4 linked regions of the Schizosaccharomyces pombe genome follow. The protein of the gene in region 4 purifies or fractionates together with the protein of the main gene of each other region. This does not show direct contact. Each region holds a gene or a part of one and is shown on either strand. Other genes may lie near its edges. The genes, in order: spf38, cwf10, gpl1 and nrl1.

Region 1 (7,253 bases), 1.1 Mb from region 4:
AATGAACTAATATAGATCTTTTTAAACAAAAGGCACCCTGCATCTCTACCTGCGCGTTTTGTATATCACTTTCATTAGCTAACCATATGAAAGCAATGCTAGTTGAAGTCCCGTCAACACAACGTAGAACACGAGCAGAAATAAAGTTATAACGTTGAAACAAGTATTTTATATCATTTTCAGACACTTCTGGATCAATGTTACTAATGAAAAGCATATAGTAACTAGGTTTTTGCCATTCAGGAACCACATCTAAAGAGATCGGGTTCCCAGATATTAATCGTTGAGTAGATTGCCTTTCTAAAGCATTCCTAGCAGCATCTTGACTCTCAAATTCAATGCAGCAAGTTTTTAAAATAGCTCCCGACTCGCCATCTTCATAATAGTTTACTTTTCTAACATTTTCAAAAATTGCTCGAATATAGTCCTCATTCATCCATTCTTCTAAGTTATTTAACCTGTTTAATTAGAAATAAGATTAGATGATGTATCATTACCATAAAGATGTACTCATAACGCATATAATTTGATAATTAATCGAAATCTAAGAAACTTGTAGTTATAGGAATTATAACAGGCTTGACAACTAAGATCGTCAAATAATAAGTTCTACAGAAAATTTTAATAGTATTTAATGTTTATTGAAAAATTATTCATGAAATAAAAATTAATTCAATTCCCCAAGAAATATTGTTCGATCTGAGGAACATGAAAGAATGATGTCCTGATGTGGATGAAAGTCAACGTGATTTACTGAACCCTCATGTCCGGGTAATACATAACGTAAATCGCCTGTGGCTGACCAAACATATACGTTTTTATCAGAGCTACCAGCACCAACGAATCGTGAATTACGACTCCAGGCAACACCTAACAAATTATGCTCCTGTCCGTGAATAGCTCCTTCAAAAATTTGCAACTGTCGTTGAGCAGAAGCAAAAGGTTTTACATCAAATATTCGAACTATAAATTAAAATAGCATTAGTACAAAGGTTGATCAAACACCCAAAAAAAATTAGCATACCCGTGTTGTCCATAGAATTAGAAAGTAAGCTAGATCCATCTTTAGATATAGCCAAACTAGTAATGATATCTTTATGCCCTTTCAGAACATGCGAGCAGTGATTGTTTCGTAAATCCCAGATTTTAATAGCTCCGTCAATACCACCGATAAAAACTTGGGTTCCTTGCTGCGCTATTGCGACAGCCGTTAAGGGATATTTTTCTTCTATTGTTTTTATGCAGTCTTTTGACCGCGAGTCCCATACCTTAAATTTAGTAACTATTCCATATTTTAATAACAATATCCATACCTTCATAGTACAATCATCACTTACAGAAGTCAGAAGTTCGGAACCAACTTTTAAAACGTCTAAAGCATTCACCACGCCAGCGTGGCCTTTATGCTTCCGGATTTTTTGACCAGAGACAGCGTCCCAAGACATGAGGTGTGTATCGGAGGAAGAACAGTAAACTACGCGTGAATCCCTGCTCCACTGTAAATCAGTTATGGCTCCCTTGCAGCCATTTAATACTCCGTAGTTTTTAACGTCACCAAACACATTCCAAAGAACTAAACCACAGTTATTATAAATCAACATTTTAATTACAGCTGCACTTACGTATCTGTCTATCCATACCGCCAGAAGCAAAGTATGATCCAGAAGGATCGAACCTGGCGACTAAAACTTCAGCCTAAAGCGTTAGTATGATTTATTTCAATACAACCATACCGTATGCCCAAACATCTGTAGGTTTGGAACATTGAGATCAGATGTTCGTTGCAATACAGAACCCTCCGTTATTAAGCTAGAATCTTGGATTCTAATTCTTTTAACCTATTTATATTAGTGCATGTTTTTTTAGCAATCGAACATACTAAATGTCCATTAGTCGCACTCTCCGATTCCTTTCGTTTATCCATTTCCAGTTTACTATATATAATAACTGCAATTTCTGATTGACAGTTTTCAGAATTAGAACGTAAAATGAATAGCAGGGACGGGAGTGGAAAATATATAAAACGGATCGACAATCGTCGCAGGGGTTTCTGTCACAACCAAAATACCAATAAATCGGACTTTTCTTTGGTGTTCAAATAACGAGGAATGATGAGCTCATTCCTATAAACAGGACTTAAAGTAGAATTTATATGAACAACATTTTGATTACAGGCAAAATCCCTAAAAATTTACCCTTCTCATGGAAGCCATTTAAAATTCGTTTAAACAGTATAAATAAATTGTAAGAAATATCTATTCCGTATACTATATACAGACCTTGTTTGTGCTTGAGGAAAAACACTAGTATCAATTAATGTCTTATAATATTTAACGAGCGGCTTTAATATCTAGTCTATCTCGATTTTACCACCATCAAAAACACTTGAGAAGCATTTTGCCATTAGCTAAAGATGCGTAATCACATTTTTTTTGGGTATAGTTATTAACAAATTTTTCTACTTAAAAATTGTATGTACGGTTTTCTGGGCTGAATTGTCTATTCTAGTCGCCTCAAAAATTGAAATATAAACAACGAGATAATCACTGATTAGGTATAACCGCATACAAAATTTCATAAACTTTCTCCCGTCGAATATATTTGTACTTTAAGAAATTAATTTTTGATTAATATCAAAATCCATAATTCTACAGGGAATCTAGCATGGCAATAATAAAGGATTATCCAGTAGATAGTAGTTCTAAAGCCGGATTATAGCATTTGCAATGAAAGAGAGAAACTAAATTTTCTACTTGATAAAAAATGAATTATAGAAAACTAAAATGTGGAATATGTGAAACTAAACAAATTTACGCAAAGCTTCCAATCTTCATGTAAGTACTTTCTAAAAACTTGTAGTGCCAAAATTAAGCATCTTGCTTGATTTACTGAAAAACACAATTTGCAACTAGTTTTCGAATAGTGAACACATTCCAAAATCTTTACTACTAAAAGCATTTCTAACAACTTTAGAAAATGATAATATGAGTTCCAGTGCTTAGTATTTACATCGCTAACTTATGTAAAAAGCTGTAGATATGTATATTTTCCAAGGCAAGGTAAATAAAACAAGAATAATTGATACTATCTACATAATTACAGCATTCTTACAAAAAACTGCGGCTAATAGTATTCTTAATTCATTATGATGTTTTTACGGATGAAGAAATATCAATTTACATTTACTTTCTAAACCCACCTATCCCTTAATTCCACAGTTTTCAGTTAGTAAGTTTGCATATATAAAATCTGAAATTACCACTGGTTGATTCATTGAAAGTATATCATCTTAGAACCATATTTTAATATAGCCCATTTTAGATAATTCAAATCCGAATATATACATAATAACTATTATTAAAAATGTTTTTAGAGCATGACTTGCCTTGGAAAATAAGAAACCTCTATAGAGTTTTACTCTTCAAGGGTTTTGATTTACTCTGTAACTAAATTCAAACATAACATTTATGATTTTATGATTTTCAGTAATTGATAGAAAACTAAAATGAAAATATGATATACAAAATGTTGCGGTAGTATAGCGTGCGCAGATCTTTAAAATTATATATCGCCAGCGTGCATCGTTGTAGATCCATATTCTCGTTCGCAACACCTAACTTCTGCACATTTCTAGTTTATGGCTGATCCAGGTTTAAGGTCCGGCGTCGGATTGCCAAGCCAGCAAGGACAGAAACATGATTTACAAAAAGATCAAAAACAACCGCACGTAAATAATGCCGATAGGACCACACAATCCTTACTGAATTCGTACATATATGATTATTTAATCAAGAAGGATTATTGTGAGGCAGCCCGAGCTTTTGGCCGTGAAGCACAAGTACAAACGCTCGTCAGAAGTCAAGAAGAAACCAATTCCTTAGCTAAGCGTCACAAAAGAATGTCTCCTGTTGCTGTAAAGCATGAAGGTATAAGTAATAATGAATCTTCGGATGAAAACATGAATGTAAATAACGGTAATTTAGATTCCTTTTCTTCTTCTTCTGCTCCGCCGCCACCTCCTATTTTGCCTATCGATTCAGCTGGTGGTTTTTTAATCGAGTGGTGGAATGTTTTTTGGGATATTTACAATGCTCGTCGGGGTCAAGGATCTGAGCCGGCAAAGGCGTATATGTCTCATATTAGCAATCTTAGGAAGAAATCTCGTTTAAATTTGCAAGAAATTCAAAAAAACTCTCTACACACTGGAAATACTTCTCACCCTTATGCAAACGCCTCATTTCCCCATGATCCTGCCAACGCAATGGGTCAGCAGATTGACTCATCTCAGTTTCATCAAGGGGCAGGTGGATTGAACGATAGAAATCAGCACTTAATGCGGCAAGCTATGCTAAATAATCAAAGCCGTGAAACGTTTCCCCCGACCGCTGCTCAACTTCAACAATTAAAACAATTACACTACAGGCAGCTACAATCTGTGCAACAACAACAAAAGCAGCACCAGCAAAAGAAAACTCCACAAAGTGGTTCTACCCCACAAATGCAAAACACGACTTCTCAACCTACAACTCACGATACACATCCACCTAAGCAGCAAGGTCCAATTTCCGATTTTCGATCCATCCCTTCTTCACCCAAAACAGAAGGTGCTCCATCTAATGCTCAATTTCGCCCTAGTTTACCGGCAACTCCTAATGGTTCCGTTCCCCAGTCGAATCCGTTGTACGATACCACTGGTCTTAACGGAGGACAATACCCTGTTGTTCAAAACTCTGCTCAACCATTGCTTCACGAGATAAATTTTGCTTCAAACAGAAATCCACATCTCAAACAAGGAGGAGCAGTACCTTCTTCTACCCTTCCTCAACAACAGAAATCTTTAGACAAACCTAAACCTGCTCAACAGCCTTCAACTGGGCAATTTTCTGGAAATCAAATGAACCAATACGGATTCTCTAATTCTCCTTACTCTCAAAATATGCTATATAATTTTAACGGAAACGCAAACCCCAGTCGTCTAAACCCAGCTCTCAAGAATTATATGGAGGAGTTAAAGCTACTAGAACAACAGAATAAAAAGAGGCTTCTGTTAGTTAGTCAGGAAAAAGAAAGAAAAGGGTACACATCGGCATCGCCTGATAGACCGCTTTCTCAGACTATTACTGAATCTAGTGTTGCAAAAACCAAAAGCACTACTCCTAAATCTACTGACACTCCTACAGAAGCCACCACATCTCCTGTAAAGGTCTCAACAAAAAATAGTAATACTACTGAAAATCTTAATGGCATCAATGAGTCAAATATGCCTATGTTACAAAATGGTCTTCCTTTACGTACATCAGGTGATCATCCATCAAACTATTCTAATCTGATTGAAAACTCATCTACCTCTGACACAAATAATGCGGACAATGGAATGGACGTTATGGGGAATTGGCAATTACAACAAACTCATTCATCGCGACCCACTCCAAATGCCAGTTCTCCATTGGACGTTCGATCAAAACAAAAGCCTTCTTCTGCTAATTCAAATGCTCCAACTCCAGCACCGACCGTCAACACTACCAACCCCGAATCATCAACAAATGAAGCAACAAGTGTAGGTCCTGCTTTGGAACCATCGCAAGGAGCAAATGTTCACAAATCCGATTCTGAGTTGGATAATCAAAATCAGTCAGGAAAATCAAATCCTGATACTTCCGCGACTCCTTCTGCACCTACGGAGTCTACCACAGTTGCCACTAAATCTTCAGACAATCAATTATTGGATGTTGGAAATTCAACAGACATCGATGCGGCTCTTCTAAATGATTTTGACTTCGACAAATTTTTAAAAGATACTAGTACTGGTGACGATTTATGGTTTGGATTGTTTAATTTGCCGGATAATGAAGACTCGACTGCTGCTTAATTTTGTCGAAACTTAAGTATTTTATCCTTGTTTTTCTTCTTTTTTAATTTGTTTATTTGGAAATTATATACCAGATTTTTTCATCTTTTTTGAATGCGTTGCGTTTTGTCATTATAAAAATTTAATATATAATTAATTGCTAGTTGGATATGGATTAGTGTACTCGGTTATAAATACCGGCCTACATCTTGTACTTTATATCTAATAATCAAAATTATTTCATGTGCTTTGAATCATTCTTATATTTTTTATAACTAAACACATTTAGGTAGTACATTAGATTGGCGATTAATCAGCCCCTGCGAAAAGGCCCCTCGTACAAATTCGCTTCTTTATACTAACTAATTAAACAACAAATCATGAGGTTCGATCGCTTAATTAGTAATAAAGTGTCGACGATTTTTTTATTTTTTGCAATATACATCCAAATACTGCATAACTAAGTGTGCTAATTCTGATAAAAATCATTAACATCGCCTGTAAATTAATTCGTAAATTAGAAAATTAATTCTCTGCGAAAAACCATTAATCAAACCATTAAAATCGAGAAATAATTCAATGATTTCCTTTTCGGTTGAAATTAACAGCTATACCTTTCCGTCGTGCGTTTATCATTCGGAAATTCTAATTTCCCCATGTAATATTTTTTAAGCTTCCCCATAAACCAAAATTCTTATGTTGTTGTCGTACAGAATTGGTATGATCAAAAATTATGATTTTTCCGTAATTTGCAACATCAACGAAAAGATATTCCCATTTATAGTCACCTTGAACATTTACAAGTCTTCCAAATACGTGCCCTTTTCTCTCATTACCGATTAAGTGAAATTGTAGTACTAGATGTTCTACACCATGGTGATCCCACACACGACTAGTCAATATACCATGAGTTCGACGAAGAGGATGCGTGGCTTCACCTAGGGCTTTCATGTGATCTCCAAAAACATATCGACATTCTTCATTAGCCTTTAAAAGTTCAAAAGCTTCATCACCGTAATGTGCCTCGCCCTTCCAGATACTAGTGACAAGTGCATATATAATCAATCCGAAAACGCCGCCTCCAAATATCACAATCGAAAAATTTCCAATATTAGCAGAAGTTCTGTATGCTTTTTGAGGAGCCGTCAAATCCTTCCAAGCTTTGTTAGACGGATCTTTGAAAATTCGTGCCAGGCGCCCTTCTTCTTGTGGTTTCCGTTGTTTATTGAGAGAATCAGAAGCCAAAGAGTATAATCTCCTCTGAACCAAAGCTGAAGAAAACCTTGTAGCGCTCTGCCTTTGAATAGTACGAATCATCTAGTTGATACAAAAAGATGCAAAGAAGATGTATATAGTGACGAGGCTAAACGGCATAAAGGCAATGTCTAGTGAGCTCGACATAGGA
Region 2 (9,264 bases), 760 kb from region 4:
GCTACAGAATTTCACGTAGCAGAAAAATGTATAATAAAAATCCTAATGAAAAAATTTCAAAGAAAATAAAGAAAGGAAAATTAAATAATCTCTCCATCTTTTTTTGAACAAAGCTAGCGTTAACTTGTTGTCTAAATAATTTTTTGCATTTTTTGTTTACATGTTTATTCAAACAGCTGTTTGCTCTTCTTTCCTTCTCACTACAAACGCATACCCTTCATTTTACAAACCCTCCATACTCGTCTTGCCGTACAATATCTCTTTCTGTTTTAATAACGCGCCGGAGTGGGATCGAGATCTTGACTACCGAAGGTCCGGCATTCAACATGCTTTTGTCATCCCAAAAGTGGGGAATGCTACTTAAAGTTATTTAAACACCCCACAACCTTTGTATTCACAAACCAAAGGGATCACCTCAGCTGTGAACGACAGGTACGCTTCTTCAATACAGCAATATTAGTCAGCAAGTTATATTGTATCTGTGTCATCTTTCGGGCTATAAATACAAATACGATAGATCATTGTGGGTATTTGTGAAAACAGTTACTTTGATTTTTAAATAAATTGATCAATTGTTTATCATAGACAGGTAAATTGGACGTTAACAGTGTTTTGATTAAAAATCTCATACAAAAAAGAAAGATGCCGTCTAAAGAAATTGACATTAATCAAAAGAAAAACGTCTTACCTAAACCGGAGGATATTCAACTCATTATCTGTGATGTTGATGGTACTTTGCTGGGACCGGATCATAAGCCACATCCGCGAAACCTTCGTGCTTTAAAGTATCTTCGTGAAAATTATCCTCAGCTACCTTTTGTGTTAGCTACTGGTAGACAGCGAACATCCGTAGGTAATATCAGAGAAGCGTTAGGTTTACATGTCTTTCCTTGTGTTCACCTTAACGGCTGCGTAGTTTACGATAAAGGTGAAATCGTTGCTTGCGCAGCTCTTAAAAACTCTTTAGCCATCGATATTATTGATAAGCTCAAAGACATCCAAACGTGTGCACTTTTCGGTTACGATGAAGATTACGTTTACCAAATTAAACAGGAATCGGATAAAAAACAACATGGTATTAAGTTTTTGCGACTCTGTGGGGAAACAGTAAAGGACGACGCCAATGAAATGCTCCCTCAGCTTAAGGGCCCGAAAGACATCTTCAATAAAATGGTAGTTTTTGATGATGATACTAACGGCCTTGAAGAAGCCAAAAAGCGACTGGCTGGCATTCCTTCGGATGAAGTTGCTCTTACCCAAGCGCTTCCCCAGACTTTTGAAATAATTCCTCCCAATGATAACAAAGGGGTTGCGCTCAAGAATATTCTTTCAAAGATTTATCCATCCATTAGCTTGGAAAACGTCCTAGCTTTTGGTGACGGAGCAAATGATGTTTGCATGTTTGAATTGGCAGGCTATTCCGTAGCCATTCGTAGTGGAATGCCTGTCGCCTTAAAGGCAGCCAAGGCAATTTCCGACGTTTCAAGTGCTGAAGGTGCCGTTGGTGAAGTGTTGGAACGAATTTATAATATCCCTCCTGATTTTAATTAAATTTAACAACCTATATAGTATCTTTTTCCTGTTTAAATTATAACAAAAAAAATTCAATATCTAATTCCCATACAATAATAAATATCAAAATAACGAAAATTACAATACATATTATATATAAGCATTCGTAAACTTCTTTATTTACGTAGCCGCGGGTATAACTATTTTTCTGTGAATGCCGTGTATTTTTACTTTAGCATGTTAAAAACTGCTTTCTCTTAAACAGTGCCTTGTAGACCTTACGAGGAATATGAAAAATCAATACAAAAAGATGCTTTTAATTTAATCATGAGATCATTTTATAACATTATCAACATATGGAAATTCCAAACATCGTGGCATTAGTAAGTTTCCATAGAAAGAAAAAGAGAAATCTAAGAAGACTTTTTCTTCTCCTCTTCTTGACGCTTAGCATCTTCGCTTTTACCCTCCTCATCCAATTTGGCAAACACCTCAGAAGATAATTGGATTCCAGCGGCCTTGACGTTTTCTTCGAGATGATCTACTTTGCTAGTACCAGGAATAGGTAGCATAACCGGACTGCGTTGTAAAACCCAACTCAAAGCTATTTGACTAGTGGAACGATCAAGGTCTTTTGAAACAGCGTCCAGGATGGTTCCGGGTTTGGCTAATGCTCCTGAAGCTAAGGGATACCAAGGAATAAACGCAATTCCCTTCTGTTCACAATATTCTAACACTTTCTCATTCTTACGATTGACAAGGTTGAATAAGTTCTGAACACTAACTACCGGAAAATACTGTTCAGCTTCTTTGATATCGTCTACTGTAACCTCACTCAATCCAACATGGCGAATCAATCCTTCTTTCTTCATAGCTGCAATTTCAGAAAATTGGTCTTTGCGAGGAACCTTGGGATCGATGCGATGTAGTTGCCAGAGGTCAATTTGCTTAACTCCAAGTCGACGCATGCTCATAAGTACTTCTTGACGTAAAAATTTGGGTGCTCCACAAGGATGCCATTCATTTGGACCTGTACGAACAAGGCCACCCTTGGTAGCAATTATAAGTCCTTTGTAAGGGTATAAAGCTTCTCGTAAAAGATTCTCGCTGACCTCAGGGCCGTAAGAATCGGCGGTATCAATAAAGTTAATATTGAGTTCAGGCAAACGTTTTAAAGTTGCGATGCAAGCCTCTTTGTCTTTGGGTTCATCCCATATACCATCACCGGTAACTCTCATTGCTCCGAATCCCATTCTATTGACAACCATGTCGCCAACCTTGACAGTCCCAGCTTGTGAAGCATCTACGGCGGAAGAAGCTGCAGTTTTACTCATTTTTGTGTCTTTTGTCGCTTTTCTTAGAAATCAAGATCAAGTACTATAGTGGATCCGGTAAGTGTGGGATGTCAGACGCCGTTTCCTTTTATAGTAATTTTACATGGTGTATTCCTTACATAAGCTGGATTGATGCGGACTATCTTAAACCACGAAAACTGATTTATTACATACCCTATTTACAGAATCCAGTGGTATGATGTAAGAGCGCGTTAGACAATATATTGTCATAACGATGACTAATACTATTATAGTACGATATTGCTGGTTGGATTTTGAATTAGAGTAAATAGCTAAGTCCTTTTTGATTTGGCTCTTATTCAATTTAATGATAATTTTATGGTTCCAAAATCTGATGCTGGATGAATTGTCTAAACTGTATCTCTGTCTTCTTTTGCCAGCCCATTTTTATTCATGAGCAACGATGGTCGCACATAACGATAATGATCTTTATTGCTATGTTTCTTTCTATTCAAGATAATGTGGATTTATATTTTCCATCTTCTTGAATTATGCTTGATCGTGCTATCAAATCGTACTACGAGTTATCATTTGGAGACCACAAATGGGTTGACCAGTTCCGTAAATCGAGGTAAACATTGCACATAATAACAATTCTAGGACTGTATTTGAAAGGAAACACATTTTTTGAATTTAGTTGATGATGCCAGTATATTATTAGTGTTATTGACATTCAGCAATTTGTTGTGTGTTTTATAAACACACTAAATACTTTGTACAGTTGCAAAACTTGCGCTCTAAAAATGTTTGCACCGCACTTTTACAATGGCTATTTACTCTTACTATTGTCTTCGAAAAGCTTATAAATTTGGCTGCTAAACATGGGTCGGTAGCTCAAATCGTAGACATAACCAGTCTTTTAAGGTCTCAATTACACCCATGTACGACTTTTAAGGAGGAAGTTGGTAAATAAAAAAGTATATTTGGTTTTCAATAATTACGATTCATTCCTTTCTATCAAAATGAGACGATGTCGTTCTTCGGCAACCTTAAAGAGTGTAGTGGAAGTTACTGAGCCGATCATATCTCGTTTAGAGAGTATAAAGACAATGATTTCTCTAGCTCATTATCAAAGCTTAACGAGATATAAATCGCAGTTGAGACATGAATGCGCTAAAGCTCGAAAACTTGGTTACACTTTACTTCAAATTTGGTAATTACCAAAAGTTGTGCATTGTGGGTACTTGGCAGTAACTGATGATGGAAGAGGATTTATATGATGAGTAAGTGGTCTAAAAACATTTTATAGTTATTTCTAACTCGCCAGGTTTGGAAATTACATAGGCCCTGAAAATGAAGAAGATGAAGAGGAGCTGTTTCCTCAGGCTCCTAGCCCTACAATTGCACAGGTACCATCCTTTGAAGAGGTCATTCCTGATGAAGAATTAGAAGACGTTGAAAGGGCCGAGGAAATGGCGTTGAGTCATCTAGAGCCTCAGAATGCCGTTGTTCTTCACGAGGATAAACAATATTATCCTAGCGCTGAAGAGGTATATGGGTCCAACGTGGATATCATGGTTCAGGAACAGGATACTCAACCCTTAAGCCAGCCCATTATTGAGCCAATTCGTCACAAAAGGATTGCTATAGAAACAACAAACGTCCCAGATACTGTATACAAGAAAGAGTAAGTATGTGTAACAATGTCTTTTCTAACTTTTTAAGGTTCCTCTTCGGTCTCTTAACTGGGACAGATGACGTTAGATCTTTTATTGTTGCTGGCCATCTGCATCACGGCAAAAGCGCTTTATTAGATTTACTCGTTTATTATACCCATCCTGACACCAAGCCGCCAAAAAGGCGTTCACTTCGATATACCGACACTCATTATCTTGAAAGAGAACGTGTGATGTCTATAAAAAGTACTCCACTTACGCTCGCAGTTTCTGATATGAAGGGTAAGACGTTTGCATTTCAGTGCATCGATACGCCTGGTCATGTCGATTTTGTTGATGAAGTCGCTGCTCCTATGGCCATAAGTGATGGTGTTGTATTAGTCGTTGATGTTATTGAAGGTGTAAGTTATTCTGGCCTTTTCTTGCGTTTTGAAGATATAAAGATTCTAACATGCTTTAGGTGATGATTAACACCACTAGAATTATCAAACATGCGATTCTTCACGATATGCCAATTGTGCTCGTCTTGAACAAAGTTGATAGGTTAATCCTTGAGCTACGTCTCCCTCCGAATGATGCTTACCATAAACTTCGACACGTTATCGACGAAGTAAACGATAACATTTGCCAGATTAGTAAAGATTTGAAATATCGCGTTTCTCCTGAGTTAGGGAACGTTTGTTTTGCTTCATGTGATCTTGGATATTGTTTTACATTGTCTAGTTTCGCAAAACTCTATATAGATAGACATGGAGGTATCGACGTGGACTTATTTTCTAAAAGATTGTGGGGGGATATTTATTTCGATTCGAAAACCAGAAAATTTGCCAAACAGTCCTTGGATGGCTCTGGCGTTAGAAGCTTTGTCCATTTCATATTAGAACCGTTGTATAAATTACATACCCTTACTATTTCTGACGAAGCCGAAAAACTCAAAAAACACTTATCTTCTTTCCAAATTTATTTAAAACCCAAGGATTATTTATTAGATCCTAAACCACTCTTGCAACTAATTTGCGCATCGTTTTTTGGATTCCCCGTTGGTTTTGTGAATGCAGTTACTAGACATATTCCATCGCCTCGAGAAAATGCCGCTCGTAAAGCCTCTCAATCATATATTGGGCCTATAAACTCTAGTATCGGCAAGGCTATCTTAGAAATGAGTCGTGAGGAATCAGCACCATTAGTCATGCATGTTACTAAACTTTACAACACCGTCGATGCTAATAATTTTTATGCATTTGCTCGTGTATATAGTGGTCAGGTTAAAAAGGGTCAGAAAGTTAAAGTTCTTGGAGAAAATTATTCTTTAGAAGACGAAGAGGATATGGTGGTTGCTCATATTGCTGAAATATGTGTACCTTGCGCACGATATCGTCTTCACGTTGATGGAGCTGTTGCCGGCATGCTAGTTCTTTTAGGAGGTGTTGATAACTCTATTAGCAAAACAGCAACCATCGTTTCGGACAATTTGAAAGATGATCCTTACATTTTCAGGCCAATTGCTCACATGTCCGAGAGTGTTTTCAAGGTGGCTGTAGAGCCACACAATCCATCAGAATTACCAAAACTACTTGATGGCCTACGAAAAACAAACAAAAGCTACCCACTATCTATCACAAAAGTAGAAGAATCTGGGGAACATACTATTTTCGGTACTGGTGAGATGTATATGGATTGTCTACTTTATGATCTTCGGACTTTATACTCTGAAATCGAAATCAGAGTTTCCGATCCAGTTGCTCGTTTCTGTGAGACTGCGGTGGACACATCAAGTATCAAGTGTTTTTCAGATACTCCAAATAAAAAAAATCGTATCACAATGGTAGTTGAGCCATTGGAGAAAGGAATTTCTAATGACATTGAAAATGGAAAAGTTAATATCAATTGGCCTCAAAAAAGAATCAGCGAATTTTTCCAAAAGAACTACGATTGGGACTTACTAGCTTCACGTTCCATCTGGGCTTTTGGTCCCGATGATCGTGGTACGAATATATTGCGGGATGATACTCTTAGTACAGATGTTGATAAAAACGTGCTTAATAGCGTAAAAGAATACATTAAACAAGGTTTTCAATGGGGGACTAGGGAAGGTCCTCTATGTGATGAGACAATCCGAAACGTGAATTTTCGCCTGATGGATGTAGTGCTTGCACCTGAACAAATTTATCGAGGAGGTGGTCAAATTATTCCAACCGCAAGGAGAGTGTGTTATTCTTCTTTTTTAACAGCGTCTCCACGGCTAATGGAACCAGTGTATATGGTTGAAGTACATGCCCCCGCTGACAGTCTTCCTATTATTTATGATTTATTAACGCGTCGTCGTGGTCATGTCCTCCAAGATATCCCTCGGCCAGGTTCCCCATTATATTTGGTGAGAGCACTTATTCCAGTCATTGATTCTTGTGGATTTGAAACAGATTTACGAGTGCATACTCAGGGTCAAGCTATGTGTCAAATGGTATTTGATCATTGGCAGGTAGTACCTGGTGATCCACTGGATAAGTCTATCAAGCCCAAGCCATTAGAACCCGCACGTGGCTCTGATTTGGCGAGAGACTTTCTGATTAAGACAAGACGTAGAAAAGGTCTGGTGGAAGATGTTTCTACAACTCGCTATTTCGATCAAGAAATGATTGATTCTTTGAAAGAAGCAGGTGTCGTACTCTCTTTGTAATGTCGGTTTTAAGTCTTTATAATGGATTTTGCAAAAAAAAATAAATTGGGTAGATTTTAATAATAAAGTATACGATTATTTATGAAAGTTCGAGAAGTCTAACAACTTTTTTTTGCTTTCAAATCTCGCGTTTACAGTGTATGAAATCCGAAAAATCAGCGCATATCTTGAAGCCGTAAATTATTTGTGAAATCCTTGATCAGAAGGAAAAGTCGCATTTTGGTTTTACGATTTTAGTATATAGATAAATAACTTCTATTATTTATTTTTTTATGTTAAGAAACTAACACTCAACTGAAATAACGTAATTTCATAGTACTATAAACACCCGAGGTCATATGTCATGAAGTTACCCTCTCAGTATACCGGAAGACTTTAGGGACATATACAACTTCCGGAAGTGCTCTGCTTTTGGAAGTAAAATACAGCGAGTTTAGTTAGATTAGTTTATTATTATCCTTAAAACTGAAGATGGGTTTGAGACTTTTGTTTTCTCTCATTTGCGTATTTTGCATATCGAACATTTTTACGCAAGCCTTCTTGGTGCATCAAATATATGGTAATTCCAGCTTCACAAAAATATCTTTAAATCAACTTGAGGGCAGAGATTCTCAAGAGGAACTACAAAGGCGTCAGGAAATCCGATATTATGGTCGTGCCGCTGAAACTGGAGGAACTCCTACTTACTACGGGTATGCGACACCCACTAGCTCTAGTGAACCCAGTATCTTTTCTGAATCTGCTACTCCCTCAGAAACTAATTCTTACTCGTCTCCGGTCAGCTCTTATTCTGATCCCGCAACTAGTCAGCTTCCCTCGTCGACTTCTTTCTTTTCACCTACTTCTTCTGAATATACGCCTTCTAGTACGGAATCCAGTTCTCTTCTGGACCCAAGTTCTGTATCATCAGCTATTTTACCAAGCAGTACTAGTGTTGAAGTAAGTATTTCTTCATCAAGTTTGTCATCTTCTGATCCTTTGACTTCTTCAACTTTTTCCTCCTTGAGTTCAAGCACTTCTTCAAGTCAGCCATCTGTGAGCTCCACCTCTTCTTCAACCTTTAGTAGCGCAGCTCCTACTTCCACTAGCTCCTCCTATTTGTCTAGCTCAAGTGTTGTTTCTTCATCGAGCTCTCCTTCATCCTCCTCTAGTTCGACACTTACTTCCTCTTCATTAAGTACTTCTTCTATTCCTTCTACTTCTTCTTCATCATCTTCTACTTCCTCGTCCTTGTCTTCTTCCTCTTCCTCTTCTACTGCTTCATCTTCGTCTTCTTCTTCTTCCATTATTTCTTCGTCCTCCTCCTCTTCTTCTTCTCCCACATCTACCTCTTCTACTATTTCTTCTTCCTCCTCTTCCTCTTCTTCTCCCACTTCAACCTCTTCTACAATTTCATCGTCGTCGTCGTCCTCTTCTTCTTTCTCTTCCACCCTTTCTTCGTCTTCTATGTCTTCGTCGTCGTCGTTCTCTTCTTCTCCTACTTCTTCCTCTTCAACTATTTCATCATCATCATCTTCTCCTTCCTCTTCTTCTTTCTCTTCTACTACTTCTTCCTCAAAGTCATCTTCTTCTTTCTCTTCTACTGTTTCTTCTTCTTCGAGCACTTCGTCTTCTACGTTAACAAGTTCTTCTTCTTCAAGCTCTCGTCCCGCGAGCTCTTCATCTCATTCCTCGTCTTTGTCAAGTCATAAATCATCCTCGTCTTCTAAATCCTCTTCTGCTCCAGTATCTTCAGCTTTTTATCACAACAGCACCTCTAGCAGAAGCTCTAGTCATTCATCTAGCCATTCATTATCGAGCTTGAGCTCAAAACCAATTCTGACTGCTAGCTCATCTTCACTTCTAACTTCTTCAAGCCATACATACGAAAGGTCAACTGTATATGTGGTTACGGTGGAAACTGTTTCTAGTGGATCTAGTACTTATGCATCTCAGTCAACTCAAACTAGCATTTTGTTGGTCATTGTTGGTGATAGTTCATCGACAGACAGTTCCGGGGCTTCTTCAACTCATAGCAAGACATCGATTTTCTTTAGTTTATTTGTTGTTTTAGCTGCTGCGATTGTTATTATTTAATTTGCCGAAACGCTCGGTCTAAAATTAG
Region 3 (7,526 bases), on a different chromosome or scaffold from region 4:
AAGCCTACCTATATGGGTGACAAATTGACTAAGTTCGCAAAAGTACCACATTCTTTATTAACGCTCAGCATCTATAGACGGGGTAGACTTTTGCAACAATGCTCGCCTTCCTCTGTCACCAAATACTTAAAATATGAAGAGAAATTTAAACGGAAGCGGATGAAGAAAACGTCGAATGCATTATTTCAAAGTACATGAAATTACTGATTAAATACCTTAAAGAAAAAAATATCATAATCCGAAACTTTAGTAGGAACTTATGTGAGTTTAAGCTTATTTATTTGTTATATAGTAACTTTTACCTTAGAACGCAATGTCTTTCAAGCTGTCACAAAATTTCTATTCTGGTTTTTGAAGCCTTCTTCTCCGTAAATAAGCTTGGAATAAAAATTCTACCGCTTCAGTATTCATTTTGGTATCTTGCCACGTATCGCCCCAGCAGTAAATACCGTGATCTCTAACAATTACAGCACAAGTATCTGGGTACAAATTGATCGCTTCTTGCAAACTATCATGAAGATCAGACTCATGAGCAGTATTATTGATAACTATTCGGTTAGCAGCCTTTTATAAAAGTTTGTAAACTCATACATGGAATTTTTATCTTATCTGTTGGCTTATGAAACCCATTATTTTTAGATCCTTTTGGAATATACGATAGTACTTCAAAACCTGTTGCCGAAAAATGATCAGAATCCGCAAATAGAGTAGACAATAAAATGGCTTCCTGAGAATGGGTATGGATACATGCATATGCGTCACGCAAGCTACTGCTTTAGTAAAGAATTCAATGTTCAACAACTTTGCTGACTTACGTGTATACTGCTAAAAACAAAGGTGTACACTGAGAAGGTTTCAATCGAAGAGCTGGCATTCGCATATATTCTCGAGTACTGCAAGAGGTTAGCATCTACTCAAAATGATAAAAACAATGACAATAATAATATCATACATTAAAGACATGACAAAAAGATGGTGTAACTCCATCCTTTCCTTTTGTACACCCGAGGGAGCGATTACAATGGCATCTCTACATGAAAGTTAATATTTGACGCTTTAATAATGCTTTGTACCCAGAGCGAATGGTAATTCCTCCTCTGATTCTTTTATTAGTTATATTAAATTCAAATTAGTAATTACCCAGTTCCTGTAACCCAGCCCGACGTATACAGATCTCGACAGATTTCGCAAATTAATTCACCACATTTTTTCAAATCGCCAGAACGAAGACATCCTAAGTCTTTCTTTAGAAAATCATCCATTATTACTATGATGATAATTATCTTGATGAAAAATTTTGAAAAGGGTCACGTTTCATTAACGTTTAAAAATTTTTAAGTAGCAAAAGTAACTGTGAGTTTAATCTACGCGACATTAAGCAAACAAAGTGAAGTAAAGAATTGATGTGTATAATAGCTATCTTGATAATTATTATTTTTTTTTATGAAATTATTAAACATTGTGTCATGGCACTTGAATAAATAGGAAGTACTAAGTTTTTGCTTAAAACAAAAAGTTTATTACAGTCTATTAACCTAATGAAAATAAAGTACAATAGAAATCAATTAATAATTTTTTTATTCAGTCATCCCCAAATATTGCACTGAAAAGAGTTTGGGGAGCTTTTGGTTTTTCTTCTATATCCTGGGGTCGATTCAACTTCCTTGTATCAATTGAATCGATACTTTTGTTTTCAATTTCAGCAATAATAGGTACATTTTCAATAGAAGAAATATTTTTACGCTTTTGTTTTTCTTGACCGTACGGTAAGGCGACATTAAAGCGTTTACAAAGAAGACGTTCGGGAATGAATGTAACAACTGTACGAGGTCTTCTCAAAATTGAATCATCAGTTTCACTATGTGAATTAATCGACTCTTTTTTAGTCGAGGCTTCAAAAGAACTTACGAAACGCATCGATAGATTTTTTGACATAGGTCGGTATAGTGAAGCTGTTTGAGTAAATTCTAGTAAATGACGAGAATCAATATCTCTGAGTAATCGTGGCATATTCATTAGGTGCGCCTTAAGGAAAATCTCGTAAATTCCGGCACGCTCATCGTTATAGGGATTATCTTTCCTAGACATTGCATTTTTAGCTGTCTCAATGTCAATTAGTTGCCAAGATCCCTCATCTTCCTTGACACCATGATTAACATCACTAGGTAAACTTGCTTCACCGTTGGAATTTGTTTCACTTTTCTCAGCAAAAAGTGGTAAGCGCTCATTTGAAGTTTGGGCTTTTTTTTGTGAAAATCCTTGAGAATTTGTAAAAAGTTTTGGCTCCCAACCCTCAGGTATTGTAGGAGGAGGAAACCAATTATTTTGAAAAGGTGATTGTAAATTAAATACCACTACAAATCCTGGAAGGGGAGGTAGACCATCTGAGCAATTTTGCGATTTGATTATGCTTTTCCCTTTGCTTCTGTCTTTTTTTGACAGAAAGGTATGCTTAACGGGTGTAAATGGAGAAGCGACTTTTTTTGTAATGTTGATAGATTTATCATACCGCATTTTTGGAGCACCGAGGTCGTATATATCTTGATCTTCTATCCCATCATCATTTAAAACACCTGATCCAAATCCACCGCGCAGATTTTTTGCCATTCCAACTGGTTTTCTTTCCAGCTGAAAAACATCGTCCGCTTGATACCCGATACCGTGATAAGCTTGGTTGGTTAACTTAGTGTCATCATAATACCCTTGAAATGGAGATATAACAAAATCATGACCGTTCCATCCAAGATTTTTTAACATTTTTTCGCCAATGCTATCGTCCCTATTTGAGAATTCTCTAAGTAGAGGATCATCAATTGGTATAGATGTATCAATCGTATTTATTTTCGAAGTATAAACTTTACTAAGCTCTTGGTCAGCACGATCTTCCTCGTCCATAATATCGTCAATAGTCATTCCATGCACACTTTTGTTTTCATTCCTTGAACTTTTCCAAGATTTAGGTTGCCAACCCTCTTTTGAACCAACCGTATTAAAATAGCCAGCAGAAAATCCACCAGTAAATGCACCATGAAATCTCTTTCTATTACGCTCATCCCTGGCTTCTTGTTTCCAAACAGGAACTCCTTGATTAATTCTGGACGGCTCAAGATCAAAAGGGGAGCCATAAACTACATAAGGGTGCCGATGAACATCGACATTGCTTCTTTTTCTTGAATTGGCATACATTTTAAAACAAGAAGTAATCGTGATCCGTAGTTAAACTGAAAAAAAAAAAATTCAAAATTCAAAATTTAAGGCATATTTTAGGATACTATAAGCCCATTATTTTTGAGGCGACAAGAATACTATGTTGAGCAACTTTTAATTTTTAATAAAGCCAGATAACTTATCAAAGAATTCTGATTTGTTGACAAAAGCAATTACAATACTCAATTTTTAAACAGTTGCCCTTGCTTCGAATTTCAGCTGCCTCCGTAGTGCAATCTGCGAGCGTTAGGGTACGTTATTTATCTATTACCTAATTCTTTGTACAGTTGAAGTTTCATGAGATGAAAAATGTATCATGTATATTTTGTCTGTTATTGAGAAATCTCAACAAAGTTCTATTTAGTATTACTTCATGTTGAACCAAGCATTCATAAACTAAGAAATTTGTTGGTAGCTGGTAAACTGAGCGAATTATCGTCGGTTGATTGGTAAAACATCATTTCTTATACTTCGTTTGCTCAACCATACTACGAATTTTAATGCCTAACAATTAATGAGCAATACACATTTGGATATGCTGCTTATATAATTTCACATATCTTGATAACTTAATTATCAATTAAGGAATGGTGGTTAGGCAAGTATGTGTATCATTACGTGGGGTTTTTCATAGATGTATGGTTTGAAGATGTTAAAAAAATAAGTGTAAGCGGTTACTATGCTAATGTTCTATAAAAACCAATGTTCATATAAATATTCGTCGATTGCGGGGCTTCTTCTCATAAGGATTATAATTACTAAACATAGAGGTATTGGCAGGTCAGTTGTAATTCGCGTACAACATCTTCGACTCACCACTTCTATAGTGGTACATAAATTACCGTTTCTTTCTGCGAAAAAGTGGGTTAGAAGTTCGTGCTATTACTTCTAAATAATCGTGAGAATTTAATTCAATCGTAGGATACAAAGCTGTTCATTATATAAAACTATCAACTTTCGAATATTCTATGGTGTGGATATAATTTTCATTTATCTTTATGAGTAAAAACTATACATATCATATTTACAATTAAAAATCTTCTTTCTTTCTACTATATGGATGGATATTTCGAATTATGTTGACAATTTCTACTTTGATGAGAAAATTGCTTCAGCATTTGAATTAGGTAAGCGTTTAGTAGTTCAATAAGCTTGCACATAAAAAAAAAATATTGGGTTTTTGTACCGGGATCTTAAAAGACGGAATTACTGACAGCTTTAGGAGAAGTAAGCACGGTTGATTTGTTAACGCTGGATATTACTGAGCTAGAAAGACGCACACATTGTAGTCAAAGTGAGTTATTACAGTTAATTGAGCAGATATCCCTCCTTCTTCAACCAGTAAGATGTTCTGCTTCCAAAGTCACTTCGAAATATTTGACAACTGGCGATGTAAAGTTGGATGAAACTCTACATGGAGGTATACCAGTAGGACAGTTAACTGAAATATGTGGTGAAAGCGGTTCAGGGAAGTCACAGTTTTGTATGCAGCTTTGTTTAATGGTTCAACTACCTCTCAGTTTAGGAGGAATGAACAAAGCAGCTGTCTTCATTTCTACAGAGTCCGGTCTTGAAACAAAACGATTATTTGAACTGGCGCGTTATTTACCAGAAAGGTATCCCAAAGCTGATAAGAAAGACATAATTATAAAAAATCCAGGAGATAGGGTGTATACTATATTATGCCCAGATCTGGAATCTCAAGAACATATCATTCAGTATCAACTGCCGATTTTATTCAATCGGGATAAAATTGGGTTGGTTATATTGGATAGTGTCGCCTCCAACTACAGAGCTGAGCTCCGTTACAACCGATCCAAAAGTCATTTTAGAGATTTAGATAATATTGCCAAACGTGGAAATCAATTGGGAAAGTTAGCTATGACTCTACGCACTTTAGCTCATCAACATGAAGCTGCTGTTGTCATAGCTAACCAAGTTAGCGATAGAATTCCTAGAGATTATGATGCTATTGGGTTGTTTAGTTTAGATTATCAATCGCAATGGTTTTCGGGATGGGATGACACAGATCCAAATCCCAAAATACCATCTCTTGGTCTCGTTTGGACTAATAACATCAGTACGAGATTAGCATTAATTAAGAAAACCGACTCTGCCACCAATAATTCGGGGAGAATCTTTCGGGTTGTTTATTCACCAAATTCTCCAAGGCTTGACGTACGAATATGCATAGGATCGGTTGGGATATATTCGTGCTAGCATTTTTGTAAAAATTTTATATATAATATAATAAAACCGGTTTATGAATTGCCCTAACTTTGTTTAATCGACTGTCGCTTATCAATCATTCGCAGAAAGAAAAGTAATGCTTTGAGTAACTGTTACATATATAAGTGTACTTATTTATCTTTATATTTATATTACCTCTGTCACTATTAAATATATATTTTGTTGATCTATGATGGTAGTGCATTTTTATTAGAATCCGACATACTTTAGTGGACTGAATTTTGGATATACCAGTTGGGTATTGAAATGGAAAAAAATACAATAAAAAGTTTTACACGTAACAAAGAATGCCCAAAGAGCTCTCTTAACCGACGAATGGCTTTTTCTACCTGTTTTTACTATTGCGCGTAAAAGATTTTGTAAGACCTTTCCGATAGCTTCCGCTATTGGCGATCCTTTAGAAATTTGCACCTAACATTTTTACCAAAAGCCAAGTATGCATTGGTGATATCTTGTAAATAAAAAATGAACATTCTTTTATAACATAATCGTTACAAAAATAGAACACAAAAATGTCAGTTCCAATTGATCGAATCAATACGGTTGACACTTTAGCCAATACACTGGAAAGTAATTTAAAGTTTTTTCCAGAAAAAATACATTTCAACATCCGGGGCAAACTAATAGTCATTGATCGCGTTGAACTTCCAATATTACCAACTACCGTGTTGGCACTTCTATTTCCTAATGGGTTTCATCTGCTTTTAAAACATGAGGGAGGTGATGTCTCATCATGTTTCAAATGCCACAAAATCGACCCTTCCATTTGTAAATGGATTTTGGACACCTATCTACCATTATTTAAAAAAAGTAATAATGCTTATCCCTCAAAAATTGCATTTAATCCTATATCGAATACTACCCTCGTTTTATTCTTAACAGAATGTTGCAATATCTATTTATTTTCTGAAAATAAAAAGCCCGTCGACCAAAAAATCAGGAGCGACTTATTAGAGCAAACTTTCAAGAACAACGACGTTTTTGAAAGTGCAGACAAAAAAAAAATCCGAAAAGGGCTGAGTGATGGACCGCTAGTTGATGCATTACAGCATTGTGGATTTCGCTACAACGATAAATGGGCCAAGAGAGTAAAGGAGCCAAAATTAATGAGCTTAATGTCGTATATCATAACAACAGTCGAGAGCTCCTCATTAAGCGAAGAATTTTTGAGTAAAATTTTGAAGCTATGGGGACAGCCAGGTAATAAGTGCTGGTGGATAAACGAAGTTATAAAAGTAAACGGATCTTTAATCAATGTTTGGAGGAGAAAGCAGTGGTTGTTGGAAGTTACGATTATGGGAAATCGTGAAAATTCTCAAGACTAAGTGTTTTAGTAAAAATAAGATTAAAAAACATTTTGCTAAGTTAGGCCGTGCATGCAGCCATTCTTTTAACAGATACCAATGTTACGAGGTTTCCCAGATTTTACTCAAATTGCGTGATAATTATTGTAGTATATTTATTTTGAATAATAATTTTTTATTTGAATTTTGTTAATACTGTTTTTTATAAATATTACAATACGTTCAATCTAGTTGTGGTAACATGAAAGTGCTTCCACTTACTTGATGCTCTCTACGCAAGAGTATGCCTAATGAGTTTATTTCCCAATCGCTTAGTACTCTTACAAATACACCCTTAAATATTCAGAAAAAGCTATTACCAATCACCAAATACAGTATGTAGCTGTTTTACCCTTACATTGCTGACGTTACATTTAGGAAACCAGTTGTTATATGCAGTAGAGCAAAATCAGATTACTATAGTGTTAGGCCACACAGGATGTGGTAAAACAACTCGTAAGTATTTTGATTAGATGGTTTATTAAACTAAAAATAATCTTGAAGAAATCCCTCAATTTTTATACGAAGCTGGATGGGCGTCCCAAAACGGTATTATAGGATGTACACAGGTTAGTCACAACTTTGTTTATTTATCATCCTCCTAACTTATTTGAAAGCCCAGAAGACTCGTAGCAAAGAGCGTCTCTGAACGAGTATCTTTGGAACTGAACTCTCCTCCTGGAAGTTTGTGTGGATATAGCATTCAATTTGATCATAACGTTTCTG
Region 4 (5,569 bases):
ATCAGCGCGTTAGAGCTGACTATATCAATTCTGTCTACTTTTCTCAAAATTAATAATCTAATCATCCTCCGTTGCTCATCAGGTCTTACAATGTTATGAAAAAAGTAATTTGCTTGCATAAATACTTAGTCCTACAATTCCCCAACGTTCTGCCTTTATTTATTTATTTGGTTATCATGTGGATTCATAACCTAAAAGTTTTGATGCAAAAAATATTCTTGCTGCTTCTAAAATTATTTATTATTTATTTATTGAATCAGATCTCTTCTTGTTAAAAAAGAAAGGAATTGACTTGATTGTATAAAAGGTTTGGGTTATGGAAAGCTCTTATTTTTATCATCTATTAATATATTGTTTTTATCTTAATTACGAAGCGTTATGTCAAATATGGGTAATTAAACTTGAAATTAAAGATTGTTGTATTAGTATCAGCCATACCAAGTATTACTGTTAGTAGATGTTTCAACGGGTGCTCGAGTAGGAATAATGCTTTCTTTGATATTGTATTCTTTAATTATGTTCTGTCATTCGAGAGGTTAGAAAAATTTTTAAACATGAATACACCCACCTCGTACAAATCCATTGTCATATCCAGTACCAATTGAATGTTTCTTATTTCGCCTGCCACGACTTGATCGTCCGTTGGAGGAATGCGTGTTTCTTACAAGTTAATAATAGTTCAAATTCTAAATATAATTGATTTACCAAGCATGAGAATCCCGCTTTCGTTTTCTACGAGGGCAGCTTTGCCTTCTTTGAATAAAAAGCTGACATAAAACAAGTTCTCCACTGTTTGAGGATAACTTTGAGGATTGGTGATGAATTTCAAAAAATTAACAGGCTGGTGTGCTTGAAGTAAACGAGATATGTGCAAGACATTTTTAGTGGTGTTATTTTCTTGGGTAGTAATGTTACGTTCATTCAGCTTCTTGAGTTAGAAAATATAAAAAAAATAAAAATTACCATAGTAGGTTGAGTTAGCACATTCGGGGCTTTTTGTAGTCTTTCTCGCCGCTGGATGTTTCTTTCTTTCTTGCGAAATGATAAAGGACCGACCCTAAAGAGGTTAGATACGCTATTGGAGAAACTATTTTACATACATCAAGTTCAGAGAAGCGGGCTGTTTTTCGCAATTACTTGCCAATTTCCCTAGTCTTGACCATGCTGTGTCAATTTCTTGGATTCGAGTAACATTCGAGTGGGAAGTAGGATAGTTGAGGAATTGCTTAATATTTTTTGTGAATAGTTCAATATTAAACTTGGGCCTTCCAATATGAAGCTGCCTAGCTTTAATGGAAGCCAGATCAACCGTTTTAGTAAGCAGTAAAGCATCTAAGGTTGCTTCAGTAGGAGCATCAACTATTAATTATGTTAACAACTGACAAAGATACACTGATATTCACCTGAAGAAAATAAATCATTAGCAGTAGTAATAGTTTCATATAAGTTATTGTTTTCCTCATCAACCAGTTCCAAACGACTTTCTGCTAAAATGTTAGTAAATTATAAAGTAAAGCTGTACATGACCTTGAACTTTGTTTATTAAGTTCCTATATCGTTTTCTAAGATCCCGTTTATCAATGGAGGACATATCGTGGGTTTTTTGTGATAGTTTTTATTCAAATATAAGCTAGATGACGAAATTAGATTTTGAAGTACAAAATTTGCCCAGTTTCCTCATGAAGGATTTGATCGCGAGCAAATCTTTCAACCTTTAAGCACAACTCTCCAAGATTGGCTTTTAGATTAATAATTTTTAAAATTAAAAAAGTAAAACGTTGAAGAAGAATGTTGCCATTAAGTGTTAGCTTAATCGTTAGTTGATGCTAATAACCAAGTGTTGCTGCTAACGCCAGCAAATATTTTGTCAACGAGCATATGCAAATTATACTGGTATATACGGCAGAAACTATTTAGTATATTTGGATCATTTCAAAGAATATTAGTTATGGGAGCCTTTGTACTTTTTTTCTATTAATTCATAAACACCTATAATGCCGTCTAATCATAACACGTCTGTTCCAAAATTTTCGAGTTTTAACTCAGTCAAGGCAAAAAAAAATCCAATTACAAAGAGCAATAAAAAATATCGATCATCTCATGATCAAGTTTCCTCAAATCATGCGAAATCGAGTTTCCCTTCGCATCGATCAATTCAAAGTAATTTCGCTGTAGACACGAAAGGAGAAAAGCAAAATTTACTTTACGGGATTAATAAGAGGCCCGTTCCTAAATATCATAGATCTTCAAGTTCCGTATATGGATCTGCTCCTCTGCTACGAATAGTCAAAGAGTCAAAGGAGGGCATAACCCTGAATAAGAAAAAATCGTTGGAAATCAAATATGATGAAGAAAGAAGCTTTGATGAAAAAGAAAACGATGAAAGTGAATTTGAAGATGGGCAGCAGGGATTTATTCCATTGTTGGTTAATAGAAACTCGGATCCATCCGAGAAGTCAACGTTTTCTTTAAATATTCTGAAGGCTATTAAGGAAACAGATGAAGAAATAAAAAAAAACCCAGGAAAAGCAAGGTTATGGATAAAAATGTGTGAGTATCAAGAAAGACTTTTGTTTGATGAATTTCGACGGAGCAATTCCGACGACATTAAAGGTAAACTGAAGATTGAAAACAATAGTAGAAGCGTAAAACTATCAATTCTGGAAAAGGCACTTAAAGAAGTTAAAGGATGTGATCATGAAATATTGGTTTCATATTATCTCCAATTGGGCTCAGAAGAATGGAGTAAAGAAGAAACTAATCAGAAATTCGAAGAAGTATTGATTGAGCATCCAGGTTATCTTAATTTGTGGATGAAATATGCCGAATATTTTACTGGAATATCAGAATTTACTTTCAATGATTGTCTAAACATGTTTTCTAAGTGCTTCAAATTTTTAAAGCAAAAATTATCCGATAGAAAATCGTGTAAGGAAAGAGAATCGACAGACGTAACTTCCAATTTTGAAGTAGAGGAGGCCATATTACATTTGCTTATCCGACTATGCGATTTTCTGAAGAATTGCGGATACTATGAGCTTGCTTGGTCCATTTTTCAAGCTAACATGGAGTTATGTTATTTTTATCCGCGGTATTTGGAAAAAAAACTTGACAGTACTTTTTTTGAAAGCTTTTCTAAATTTTGGAATTCAGATACTCCGAAGTTTTCTGAAGAAAATGCTAGGGGATGGTGTAACGTCCTTGATGATGAGTCCAGCCAGCAAAATCAAAATTTCAGTTCAGAAATTGGAATATTTCAAACAGTTAAGTTATGGTATCTTAACGAAAGCAAATTTGATACTAATCCTCCTCCACGTAGTACCATGAGTTGTCGAAAACTTTCAGGAATAGATGATCCATTTAGGTATATTGTCTTCAATGACATACAAGACTTTATAGTTTGTTTTGAAAGCGAAACGATTGCTTTCGCATTCAAGTATAAATTTTTTGCATTTTGCGGAGTACCTCTTTTTCCACCGGGGATTTCAACAAACTCATGGTTTGCTTCTTATGACAAAGGAATTTACAACTTGCTTTTTGGCATGGCTTCCAGTGAATCCTTTATAAATGGACAGATAGCTGAGAAAAACAGCTTTCAATTTCCCTGTAGTATACTACCTTCATACATTGATCTCTTCATTTCTCTTATGTCGTTTAAAAATTTAAATTTCAAGTTATTTGATTACAACCTTGCACATCATGTGAAGGAATCAATGGAGCGTGCTTTTCATCAACTAGTATTTTCGGCGGACGATGAGTATTTAGCGAGCGTTTATTTAATTTATTTAAAGCAAATGGAGACGAAGAACCTAAGTGAGGAGAAACCCCAAGTGAAGTAAGTAGATGTTTTTGTTTCCTTCTAACCAAATTCAGTAAAATTGTAAAGAAGATTCTCAAAAAATACGATAGTTCAGTGTCTGTTTGGAACACTTACGCTCAATTGGAACACTTAAGTGGTGCTTTTACTATGGCTGAAACAATTTTTAAAACAATTTTTCAGATCCATGCTTCCCAATTGCGCTACATTGATAATTTAAATGTATACAAAAACTGGGCTTTTAGAAAGCTACTTATTAATGATACTGAAGGATGCTTAGTTATTATAAAATGCCTGTTGTTTCCTGGTGATAAATCTTTAACTAGCGATAATAATCGAGCATCCGAAATGCTATTTGGTATGTTGGAAAATTGCGCCAGCAAGGAAGAATTGCTGTATGTTTGTCTTATCTATACTATATGGACACACTGTACTGATATGGATTCAATGGATAATTGTGTGTATTTATGCATTCAAAAATTCGAAAGCTATGGATGGGGGGCTTCTTCAGAAATGGAATGCTATTTTTCTTATTGTTCATTGATTTTTTATTATCAAGCTACCACTCTTCAATTCTATAATCTACCCAAGGTTCGACCTTTTTTTGAAAAGGGAGTTACACTTTTCAGTGCAAATACGGCTATATGGGAAGTTTATATATTTTTTGAATCTAAGTTGAGACAAGAGAACAAACCAAAAATTAGGGCTATGAAAATTTTAAAATCTGCTTCAAATGCTGTTGTTACAGCTTGTTGGTACCTTTTTTATGTTGCCGTTCAACAGATTGAGCCAACAAACTCACAGTACTTTTTAAGGACTTTGGATATCACTCTAAATAATGAAAAGTTGAAATCCGTCGCCAAGTTTTGGAGAATATATTTAAAGATTCTCAATTTGCGATTAAATGGTACTGAATGGGTTTCGGCGATTACCACCAAAGCATTGGCTTCCTGCCCCTGTAATAAAGGTAAGTTAATTAAAAACATAGAACATTTCACTGACTAAGTTTAGGGGTTTGTATGGACGTTATAGACTTGCTCTTGAAAAAAGAGATGGAGAGTCGGGCTATTATTTGCTATATAATCATGTTGGAAAAAGGCTTTAGAGTCCATAACGAAATAAGGAGAGATGTTTTAAAGTTTGAAAGAGGAGATGAACTTATTTTGTCCCCAAACTGACATTATTACGATCAATGACTTTTAATGATAGAGATAGTGAAATGAGTTTAAAATGACAGATTAGTTACTTTCAAGTTTGCGTAAATGCTTTAGTAGTCTTATTATTAAAGTTTTCACTTTTGTTTGTTAAATGCTTATATGGTTGCTTTTACGTTGAAAGGGTACCTCTAAGCAACCATCATGGCAGTACCTACTCAATTACTACACAACCTATTGCTTATTACAAAAATCTACAACACAACATGTCTAGCGTTCCCATAAGAACGAATTTTTCACTGAAAGGTTCTTCCAAACTTGTTAGCGAATTTTTTGGTTTGTAAATGTTTCAAATATGCCATGCTAACTTAATGAAGAATATGCGGTGAACTCAATCCTTTTTCAACGAGGAATTTACCCAGCAGAAGACTTCAAAGTTGTTCGGAAATATGGATTAAATATGCTTGTCAGTGTAGATGAAGAGGTCAAGACTTACATTCGAAAAATTGTATCTCAGTTACACAGTGAGTTGTTGTTCTATTATCACTTTTGGAATTAACAAATTTTTAGAATGGATGTTTGCAAAAAAAATTCAAAA

The links.
Region 1: the proteins of nrl1 (region 4) and spf38 purify together in Schizosaccharomyces pombe (affinity purification with mass spectrometry, with the first as the bait; 2 studies listed by BioGRID). This does not show direct contact.
Region 2: the proteins of nrl1 (region 4) and cwf10 purify together in Schizosaccharomyces pombe (affinity purification with mass spectrometry; 2 studies listed by BioGRID, with this or other methods). This does not show direct contact.
Region 3: the proteins of nrl1 (region 4) and gpl1 purify together in Schizosaccharomyces pombe (affinity purification with mass spectrometry; 4 studies listed by BioGRID). This does not show direct contact.

What each region holds. Positions count from the first base shown.
Region 1 is NC_003423.3:4,399,232-4,406,484, reverse strand, and holds spf38 (U5 snRNP complex subunit Spf38), read right to left. Parts: upstream 2,056-7,253; 5' UTR 1,925-2,055; coding exon 1,880-1,924; exon of another isoform or gene 1,839-1,879; coding exon 1,734-1,838; exon of another isoform or gene 1,696-1,733; coding exon 1,623-1,695; exon of another isoform or gene 1,574-1,622; coding exon 1,314-1,573; intron 1,269-1,313; coding exon 1,025-1,268; intron 964-1,024; coding exon 668-963; 3' UTR 599-667; downstream 1-598. Other genes in the region: U1 snRNP-associated protein Usp109, read right to left, coding at 1-458, 498-514; adn2 (transcription factor), read left to right, coding at 3,638-5,869; TIM23 translocase complex subunit Tim21, read right to left, coding at 6,494-7,165. UniProt on the Schizosaccharomyces pombe protein: Involved in mRNA splicing where it associates with cdc5 and the other cwf proteins as part of the spliceosome.
Region 2 is NC_003423.3:4,048,537-4,057,800, forward strand, and holds cwf10 (GTPase Cwf10), read left to right. Parts: upstream 1-4,019; 5' UTR 4,020-4,064; coding exon 4,065-4,090; exon of another isoform or gene 4,091-4,134; coding exon 4,135-4,494; intron 4,495-4,532; coding exon 4,533-4,884; exon of another isoform or gene 4,885-4,943; coding exon 4,944-7,160; 3' UTR 7,161-7,443; downstream 7,444-9,264. Other genes in the region: odr1 (haloacid dehalogenase-like hydrolase ), read left to right, coding at 643-1,551; SPOM_SPBC215.11C (aldo/keto reductase family protein), read right to left, coding at 1,926-2,846; protein Mtl3, read left to right, coding at 7,632-9,236. UniProt on the Schizosaccharomyces pombe protein: Component of the U5 snRNP complex required for pre-mRNA splicing. Binds GTP.
Region 3 is NC_003424.3:2,119,023-2,126,548, forward strand, and holds gpl1 (Gpl1-Gih35-Wdr83 complex RNA-binding subunit), read right to left. Parts: upstream 3,392-7,526; 5' UTR 3,187-3,391; coding exon 1,582-3,186; 3' UTR 1,408-1,581; downstream 1-1,407. Other genes in the region: ATP-dependent 3'-5'-directionality DNA helicase fml2, read left to right, coding at 1-198; mde1 (5'-methylthioribulose-1-phosphate dehydratase), read right to left, coding at 340-548, 592-767, 816-893, 953-1,030, 1,074-1,097, 1,141-1,262; rad57 (DNA recombination mediator, RecA family ATPase Rad57/Rhp57), read left to right, coding at 4,268-4,334, 4,430-5,427; whi2 (phosphatase activator), read left to right, coding at 5,970-6,782; gih35 (ATP-dependent RNA helicase), read left to right, coding at 7,045-7,135, 7,179-7,256, 7,305-7,369, 7,418-7,526.
Region 4 is NC_003423.3:3,289,038-3,294,606, forward strand, and holds nrl1 (NRDE-2 family protein), read left to right. Parts: upstream 1-1,848; 5' UTR 1,849-1,994; coding exon 1,995-3,835; intron 3,836-3,873; coding exon 3,874-4,784; intron 4,785-4,828; coding exon 4,829-4,995; 3' UTR 4,996-5,069; downstream 5,070-5,569. Other genes in the region: SPOM_SPBC20F10.03 (uncharacterized protein), read left to right, coding at 1-53; nse4 (non-structural maintenance of chromosome element 4), read right to left, coding at 429-521, 569-660, 706-925, 964-1,057, 1,101-1,359, 1,404-1,484, 1,528-1,591; mitotic spindle checkpoint protein Mad2, read left to right, coding at 5,238-5,307, 5,349-5,495, 5,542-5,569.